Caenorhabditis elegans: one gene and its partner. The protein of the gene in region 2 interacts with the protein of the main gene of each other region in a pairwise test. Each region holds a gene or a part of one and is shown on either strand. Other genes may lie near its edges. The genes, in order: ife-3 and ifet-1.

Region 1 (3,920 bases), on a different chromosome or scaffold from region 2:
TCAATAGCTCGTGGAGCGCGATTTCACCAGAGATCTTTTTACAGCGTTTCCATATAACGTGGAATTCCTCATTGTTATGCGAACAATTTAAGACGCTTAAATAGGAAATGATAACATAATTATTTTGTCGAAATATATAAGAAGAGTCTGAAAAAATTGAGCTTCCGACTCTTTTTTGCCGCAAAAAAAGTTTACTTTTTTCCAGTAAACTTTTTGTGCCGCACACCTCTATTCTGCAAACAAACTATAGAATTTCAAATGCTGTGGGCTTCGCGTGTGTGAGTGGAAATGAAAATAAATAAATACATACTAAAAAGTGATAATCACATCAAAATTTAGTTCCTACCGCTGCGACACTGAGAAGTTGTCAAAATTTAAGATTTTAGCTGAAAATATACCATTTTCCGAGCGGTCATAACTTTTTTTTTTGAGAAATTTTCAGAACATCTCATTACGAAATTAGTTTTGGAACATTTTGGGTCCCAAAAAGCCAAGTCTCGAATTTCGGTGATCCTCCTTTAAGTCTGTGGAACTACTGAAAACTAGCAAAAAACGATGATTGTTAGGAGAATAATGCGGCTACGAAAATGTTGTGTGTATGTGTGTGTGGGGGCGTGGCGCTCTCCGAAGACTTTACGTGGACGACGTGGTAATTATGACGGTCAGAAGGCGGACAAGAGTGCGAGAGACGCAGAGAAGAGAAGCCCAACAGCCGTCGCCGAAAAAATAGACAAAGTATTCGTGACTATGGCTCACCGCCAACACTCTAAAACGGGAAAATCGATGTGGTGGAGAGGAGGAGGAGACGGAGGAGAGAGAGAAATACAGCGAAAGAAGTCGTCGTCGGAGGGCCCCCGACGTCGTCTGACGGCGGGGTGTCAGACGCAGTAGGTTAGACGAATGGCGCCTCGGGGCAACGCTTGCTGCGTCTCTGCGATTCGGAGAACTGTCTGGCCACCTTTTTACGGGACGATGGGCAGGGAAAACAAGGCAAAGTGAGAGAGAGAGAGAGAGATATGTGCGACGAGTTGAGGCACACAGAGAGGGAAAAGGCGCCCAGCGGCAGCAGCAGCAACACCCAGACCGATATATTTATATGTGCATGTTGTGGAGGCTGCTGCTGTATGTGTCTGTGTGTATGCTCACAAGAGCTCGAGACACCGGGACGGCTCATGAATTCCTGACGACGACGGCGACGCTGAATGCGGCAGAAGGAGAAAAGAAAACGGAGACGCACTCGTGGATAAATTGGAGAAATTGAGAACCACAGGCTGTAAACAATGCACATTTTTTGGGAAAACTCAGATTATCGACTGCAATCTGGAAAATAAATTTTTGAATTTTAAACCTGAAAATATAATTTTTTAGCCTGAATTCCCTGAAAGAGCTCAATTTCTGTGCGAATAACGAGTTTTCAGCGATTAATTTCATTATTTTACCGAATTTTCAATAAAATTTGAAAAATTTTACCTAAACAACTCGATTTTTATTTTAATACAAAAATAATTTTCATATTTTCCGCTGTTTTGTTTAAAGGGGGGCGCAATTCCGCAGACAAGATACTTCGCAACGACAAAAACTACGGTTACACTCGTTTTGCGTGTGTCTGGTGTTTGAATTTCAGGATTCGCGCCTTTCTTTCCATTTCTTCATTTTCCAAGGTTTTTCGGGGAAATCGCTCTTTTTTTTTTCACTTTTACGATTAAAAAACAGCTAGAATGTTTAAAAACTACTAGGAATTTCATGGGAAACGAATCATTTGATGATTTTTCGTCGAAGTTGAGCTGAATTCATTTTCTACTTTGTTTTATTGTTTTCCAAGCTTTAATATCAATTTATTGTGCCCGATGTTACCAATTACACTTGAAAAATCTAAAAAGCTTGGAAACTAGCCGAAAATGTGCAGTAAAACAAAATTTCCTATAAAATCCGAGTTATTTGAACCAAATTCATACTCTTCTCTATTTTATCGTTTTCCGAGCTCTAATCGTATATAATATTACCTATTTTCAGCTAAATGAGCACATCCGTAGCGGAAAACAAAGCATTGTCAGCTTCCGGCGATGTGAATGCGTCCGATGCTTCAGTTCCTCCAGAGCTTCTCACCAGACACCCCCTCCAGAATCGCTGGGCTCTCTGGTACTTGAAAGCTGACCGTAACAAGGAATGGGAGGATTGTCTGAAGGTAGAAGATTTTTAAATACGTCTTTTATCGATTTTTTCCAGATGGTTTCACTTTTCGACACTGTCGAGGACTTCTGGTCGCTGTACAATCACATTCAGTCTGCCGGAGGATTGAACTGGGGATCCGATTATTACTTGTTCAAGGAAGGAATCAAGCCAATGTGGGAGGACGTCAACAACGTTCAAGGTGGACGTTGGTTGGTTGTTGTCGATAAGCAAGTACGTTTTGAGAAATATATTTTATTCAATGAATCATAGAAGCTTCAGAGAAGAACGCAATTGCTCGATCACTACTGGTTGGAGCTGTTGATGGCTATTGTTGGAGAGCAATTCGACGAGTACGGAGACTACATCTGCGGAGCTGTCGTGAATGTTCGTCAAAAGGGTGACAAGGTTTCCTTGTGGACTCGTGATGCTACTCGCGATGATGTCAATCTTCGCATCGGACAGGTTTTGAAGCAGAAATTGAGCATTCCGGATACTGAGATTTTGAGGTAATTTTACAATTTTAGTATTTGCTATCTAAGTAAAATATTTCCAGATACGAAGTTCACAAGGACTCGTCGGCTCGCACCTCATCGACTGTCAAGCCACGCATATGTCTTCCAGCCAAGGATCCAGCACCAGTGAAGGAAAAGGGACCAGCCGCAACGACTTCTCCATCGAATCCCGGCACGGAGGCTACAGGAACTTCTCCAGCCACCCCAACTCCTTAAGCATATTCTAAAGATCTCACCAATTCCTCTCACCGTAAATGAGCTTCCCCGTACTCCCAGTCTCAATGTTGTCTTGAAAAATGAACTGTTTTTCGGACACGATCATCGCTTTAACTATTCGAAAATCAGCTCATTTTTCAAGTCGTACCCCCCACCTAATGTATTGGTGCTTCCCCTCCAATTTGTACCTACTGTTTCGCTTCCCCCTATTGATTTACCGGTTTTCGTATTGCTCTCTTGTTGTTACTAGATTCGAGACTGATCGACGCCTGTAGCCGAATTCGTTTGTTCTTCAGGTTAATTGATGAATATATATTTATTCGGTAAATATAAATAGATATGTTAGTTATTATTCTTCTTCACACACATGATTTGTAGGGCGTTTGATTTTGTACATTTTTAAAAATTGATTCTATTCTTGTTTTCAGGCAGACTTCTCCGATGTCTTTACAGTTTTTGCAGGCTTTGCCGTAGTCGATGTGTTCGAGCTAGACGAAGGAGCTGCGGCAACAGTCTTCTTGGTTGGCTTCCTAGCTTTCCGAGGTTTCCGTGTGCTCGTCGTGCTCGGCGAGCCGGTAGTGGTCTTTTTGTTTGCTTTGGCCGCATCGTCGTGTTGATAGGAATCAACATCCCGCGACATAATTCCCATCGGAGAGCCAATTCCTCGGTTCCAGTGATTCGAAGCAATGTTCATGTTGTAATCTATGGGAATTCCTCCTCCACGTGATGGGATCTGTGGTCCACTGCCGCCATAAAGCATACGCTCAAGTTGGGAATCATGGCTTCCGAATCGTTCGCGAAGATATGCGGGACCATAGCGTGACGCATAGGTGGCAAGCTCGCGAAGTGATGGGATCGCGGAATTTGTAGCTCCATTGAAACTGTTCATCAGGTCGTTAGATGCGTAATCAGCTGGAAAATAGCGGATTTTAAAGAATTTTATAGCGCATAGAAAAATCGTATACTTACGTGGATACTCAGTCTGTGGAATTTTCGTCTTCCTGGAGCTCATAGGCGGCA
Region 2 (3,920 bases):
ATCGCAATGCGACATAACAATGAAATTATAAGACTTAAACTTCTTGTTGGACTGGTGGCTCGTAGTCGTCTGGGCGATCAACCTTCTCACCGTCGGCTCCAACGGTGATGGAGTCTCCGTGCAAGTCGTGAAGACGTCCAAGATCAACCTTTGGTCTCTTGATGATCTTGACCTTACGGATGTAGACTTCTTGGAGTGGGTAGAGCTTGGAGCAGGTCTTCTCAATATCTTTTCCGATGGAATCTGGGATGAGCTTGCTGACAACCTCCTTAAGGTCGCATCCGGTGACCTGCAATAAAAAATTTGTTTTCTTTCATTAGTTATTTTTTGCTACATACCTCCTTTTCGATGCATCCGATCATCTCGGAACGGATCTTGCGGATCTTGGATGTCTTGGTGTAGGAAGTCTTCTTGACTTGGTTGACGGACTTCTTGGTGAAGGCGATAACGAAGACACGGAGAGTGTATCCATCAGTGGTCTTGACGGCGGTGTTGGCCTCGATGAGAGTATGCCACTTCTTGACGATGGAGCACAACTTATCGTGGGTCATCGACATAGCGTGGAAGTTGGTGAGAACGTTCTTTCCCTGGACATCTTCAGCGATGAGCTTGAACTTTCTGAAGTCGGCCTCAGAGTTGTTCAAGTCTCCGAGTGAAACCTCGAAGACACGTCCCTTAAGTCCTTCGGAAGCGATCTTAGTTCCTTGGGTTCTGTTGATAAGGGTCTTTCCAACCTGAAAATAGCATTTATAGAATTATAAAACAAAATAAAACGTTACCTGGCGGGTGTTGAACATGTTTGGGGCCTTGATGTCGTACCATTCCTTGCGGGAGAATGGATCCACGGCCTTCTTCTTACCTCCCTTCTTTCCCATCTTGTTATTGTTCTTTCCGACCGCCATGATTGAAGCGGATTGATGCCAAGCTGTGTCTGAAAATAGGAATACATAATTTAACAGTACAAATTGAGAGTATAAGCTAAAAATTCGACGGAATTTTCCACTCGACACATGAGTTTGCAATAAGATATTAATAAACACTTGAATAAACGGATAACTGTTTGAAAAATTGATTTTTTTTCAAAAATTGCTGAAAAAATAGGAGGGAAACGGAAAAAGAAGGCACGGAAAAGTCCTAAAATTTGCAATTCTCGAGTTGCGTCGCAAGTGTATGCCATACACTCCGCATGACGCTCCACAATGCGTATTACCGTAGTCACAGCGCGTGAGAGACATCTTCTCTCAAACAGACCCGTTTTCATTCGTTCTTACGCTTATTTCAGACGTCTTTCCAGATTATGCGAAAATAAAATTAAAGCATGCAATTCGTCTCATTTTCAGCTGCCATTTCAGCTATAATAGTTGTCATACCTCTCGTTAATCGGAAATTAATAGGCCAAAACCAAATCCATTCAAATTTTGGCGCTAAATTTTTGAAGATGTGCGCAGCGCCAGAACTTTTATGTATTTTCCAGCTCTAATGGGTTTTCAGTTGCTTCTTATCAATTTTGGTCGCCAAAATAAGTTTCTGCGCGGTAAATCGCTATGCTTCGTTTTTTTAGTTAGACATAACAAAAAATCGATATAAACTCGATTGCGATACGTTGTTCTTGCGCAGCTGGCATTCTCTTCTTTTCTGACTGCGATGGATTTTAATGCTAATTGTTGAATAACTAATCATAGACATTCGATTTTTCAGTGTAAATATGACTAGTCATCTAGACGACGAAGGCCTACACCCAATGGTCTCAACCCTTCTCGGAGGGGGCACACTTCCGACGGTACCGTTCAAAGCGTACACCAGAGAACGAATGATGGAACTGAGAACTACCAAAGCAAGCATGACGAGGCCTGAAAACCTCTCAGAAGATTTCAATGGGTTAGTGGTACAGTACGCAAAATATAATTGCATAAAATACAATTTCAGCGAAGATGGTAAGTTTTCTCCTTTGAAATGGCTTGAACACCGTTGGGAAATCGAAGGAATTAAAAATCGTCCGATGTCGAAAAAAATTGATTCGTTATGCGCTGGCGCTGATGAAAATACGGGTTTGTCTCCACAACGGAGAGCATTTAGCAGTGGCTGCAAAGCACCAACAGACGACAAAGGACGTGACGGTAATCAGCTTGGAAATACGAGTTTGATCATAAACTTTATTTTTCAGGAGAGTACGAAAGATTGGGAGGGCATGGAAAGAACTGGAGAAACGGAAGTACCGGTGGTGCCGATAAATTTGCTTCGAGAGGAAATGACTTCAAACCATCCTTCGTACGCAGTTTCAAAATATAATGTTTCATGTTTTACCAAACATTTTTCAGCAGAAAGGTAACCAGCTTGAACGTGGTACTCGTGGAGCCGAATGGAAAAAGGATACGACACGAGGGGCAAAATTCGCACCACGGAGGTTAGTATTGAGTAGTAGCTAAAAATAATGCTGATATTTCTAATTCAGAGAGGAACGCCTTACGAGCTTGAGCGGAAGTGAGAAGCTGCCAGAATGGGCTGACGGTCCCACTACAATGGACGATATGATTGAGTTGCGCGGATTTGATGAACCAAAAAGTATTCCTAATGTCTCCTATTTATTTTATAATGTTATTCTTTTCAGAAGTGAAGAACAAAAAGAATCCAAAGGAAAAGAAGGAGAAAGAAGCTGTGAAAGCTCCGGAGCCAGTGGAGTGCGTTGGATCCCGTCCGTCATCAACTGGTCTCAAGACTTCTGAACCTATTGACGATCCAGCAATTGCTTATTCTTCTTCGGGAGGAGGAGCTCTTCCGGCTACGGATCAGGAACTCGCGGCTCTTCTGGGATGTCTTGACATTCAAAAAACATCAAGAAAGATCGATGGCGACGATATGGCTTGGGCGCACAAGAGTGAGGAAACTGCTGGAGGAACTAGTCGTCTCAGTCGGTTCTTCGCAAAGAAGAACAAGTCCCCTGAATTGGACGCTATGCTTTCGTCAGTTGGAGGCGGAAACGATGAAAACGTGGCTAATCCAATGCTTGCAAGACTTTTCGGTCATAGTGGTGGTGATAACAACGCTTCATCTTCTGGAGCTGGTGATATAAAAGGAGGAATGCGGTTGGAAGATTTGGAGAAAGGCATGGAGTCAAAGGAACCTTCAAAAGTCAGTCCATTGCAAGATCCATCACAACAAGCACAACTTCTGCAACATCTGCAAAAATTCGCCAAACAGCAAGCAGAGTCTGGTCAGCACATACATCATCATAGACAACCAACACCACCAAATGGAGGTCCACAGCATCAACAACATTTGCATCACCCTATGGTTCATCCTGGAATGCAAATTATCGCAGATCCAAGCCTTCTTGCAAGCTTCGCACAGAATCCAGTGATTTTGAATGCCTATGTCGAGAATCAACTTCAAGAAGCAGTCAATGCTGCAATTCGTGCAAACAATGGGCAGCAGCTTCCACCACAGCTTCGTATGTTAAGCATTTTTGAATACATTTCATGATTGAATTATTTTTCAGATGAGCAACTTCGTATGGCATCCATGCGTAACAAGGCTTTCCTACAGTCTCAGACTCTCACTTTCGTTAGTCTTCAACAACAGCATCAGAACATCCAGCAGCATCAGCAACAACAACAGCATCATCAACACAAAGGTCGCACTCCTGCTATGATACCTGCGTCTGTGCAGCGGCAATTGCAGAAGAGCTCCTCAAATGCTGATCAGAAGAAAGAAAAGACGAGTCAGAGCCCGCCAGAGAGCAACCAAGAGACTTCCGACGCTCATAATCAATCTGATGCCATGAACCAACTGAAGAAATTGCACATGCAGCAGAACTATGCCAATATGGTGCAGGCAATGAATTCTGGAGTCGGATGGGCACGCGGAAACGGCGTTGTTAACGGACAACAGCAACATCCACAGCAGCAACTTCCACCAAATGT

What was found.
Region 1: the proteins of ifet-1 (region 2) and ife-3 interact in binary tests that used the Caenorhabditis elegans proteins (3 or more experiments, as listed by UniProt).

Annotation. Positions count from the first base shown.
Region 1 is NC_003283.11:5,916-9,835, reverse strand, and holds ife-3 (Eukaryotic translation initiation factor 4E-3), read left to right. Parts: upstream 1-2,006; 5' UTR 2,007-2,017; coding exon 2,018-2,185; intron 2,186-2,226; coding exon 2,227-2,403; intron 2,404-2,442; coding exon 2,443-2,678; intron 2,679-2,725; coding exon 2,726-2,900; 3' UTR 2,901-3,248; downstream 3,249-3,920. Other genes in the region: B0348.10 (uncharacterized protein), read left to right, coding at 1,097-1,261; idpp-2 (Intrinsically Disordered Protein, expressed in Pharynx), read right to left, coding at 3,325-3,812, 3,870-3,920. UniProt on the Caenorhabditis elegans protein: Recognizes and binds the 7-methylguanosine-containing mRNA cap during an early step in the initiation of protein synthesis and facilitates ribosome binding by inducing the unwinding of the mRNAs secondary structures.
Region 2 is NC_003281.10:4,472,929-4,476,848, reverse strand, and holds the start of ifet-1 (Translational repressor ifet-1), read left to right. Parts: upstream 1-1,698; 5' UTR 1,699-1,705; coding exon 1,706-1,878; intron 1,879-1,926; coding exon 1,927-2,117; intron 2,118-2,164; coding exon 2,165-2,268; intron 2,269-2,318; coding exon 2,319-2,404; intron 2,405-2,452; coding exon 2,453-2,562; intron 2,563-2,608; coding exon 2,609-3,448; intron 3,449-3,496; coding exon 3,497-3,920. Other genes in the region: rps-3A (Small ribosomal subunit protein eS1), read right to left, coding at 35-289, 339-734, 780-902. UniProt on the Caenorhabditis elegans protein: Involved in translational repression of multiple mRNAs in the distal gonad. Recruited to the 3' untranslated region (UTR) of zif-1 by oma-1 and is required for translational repression of zif-1.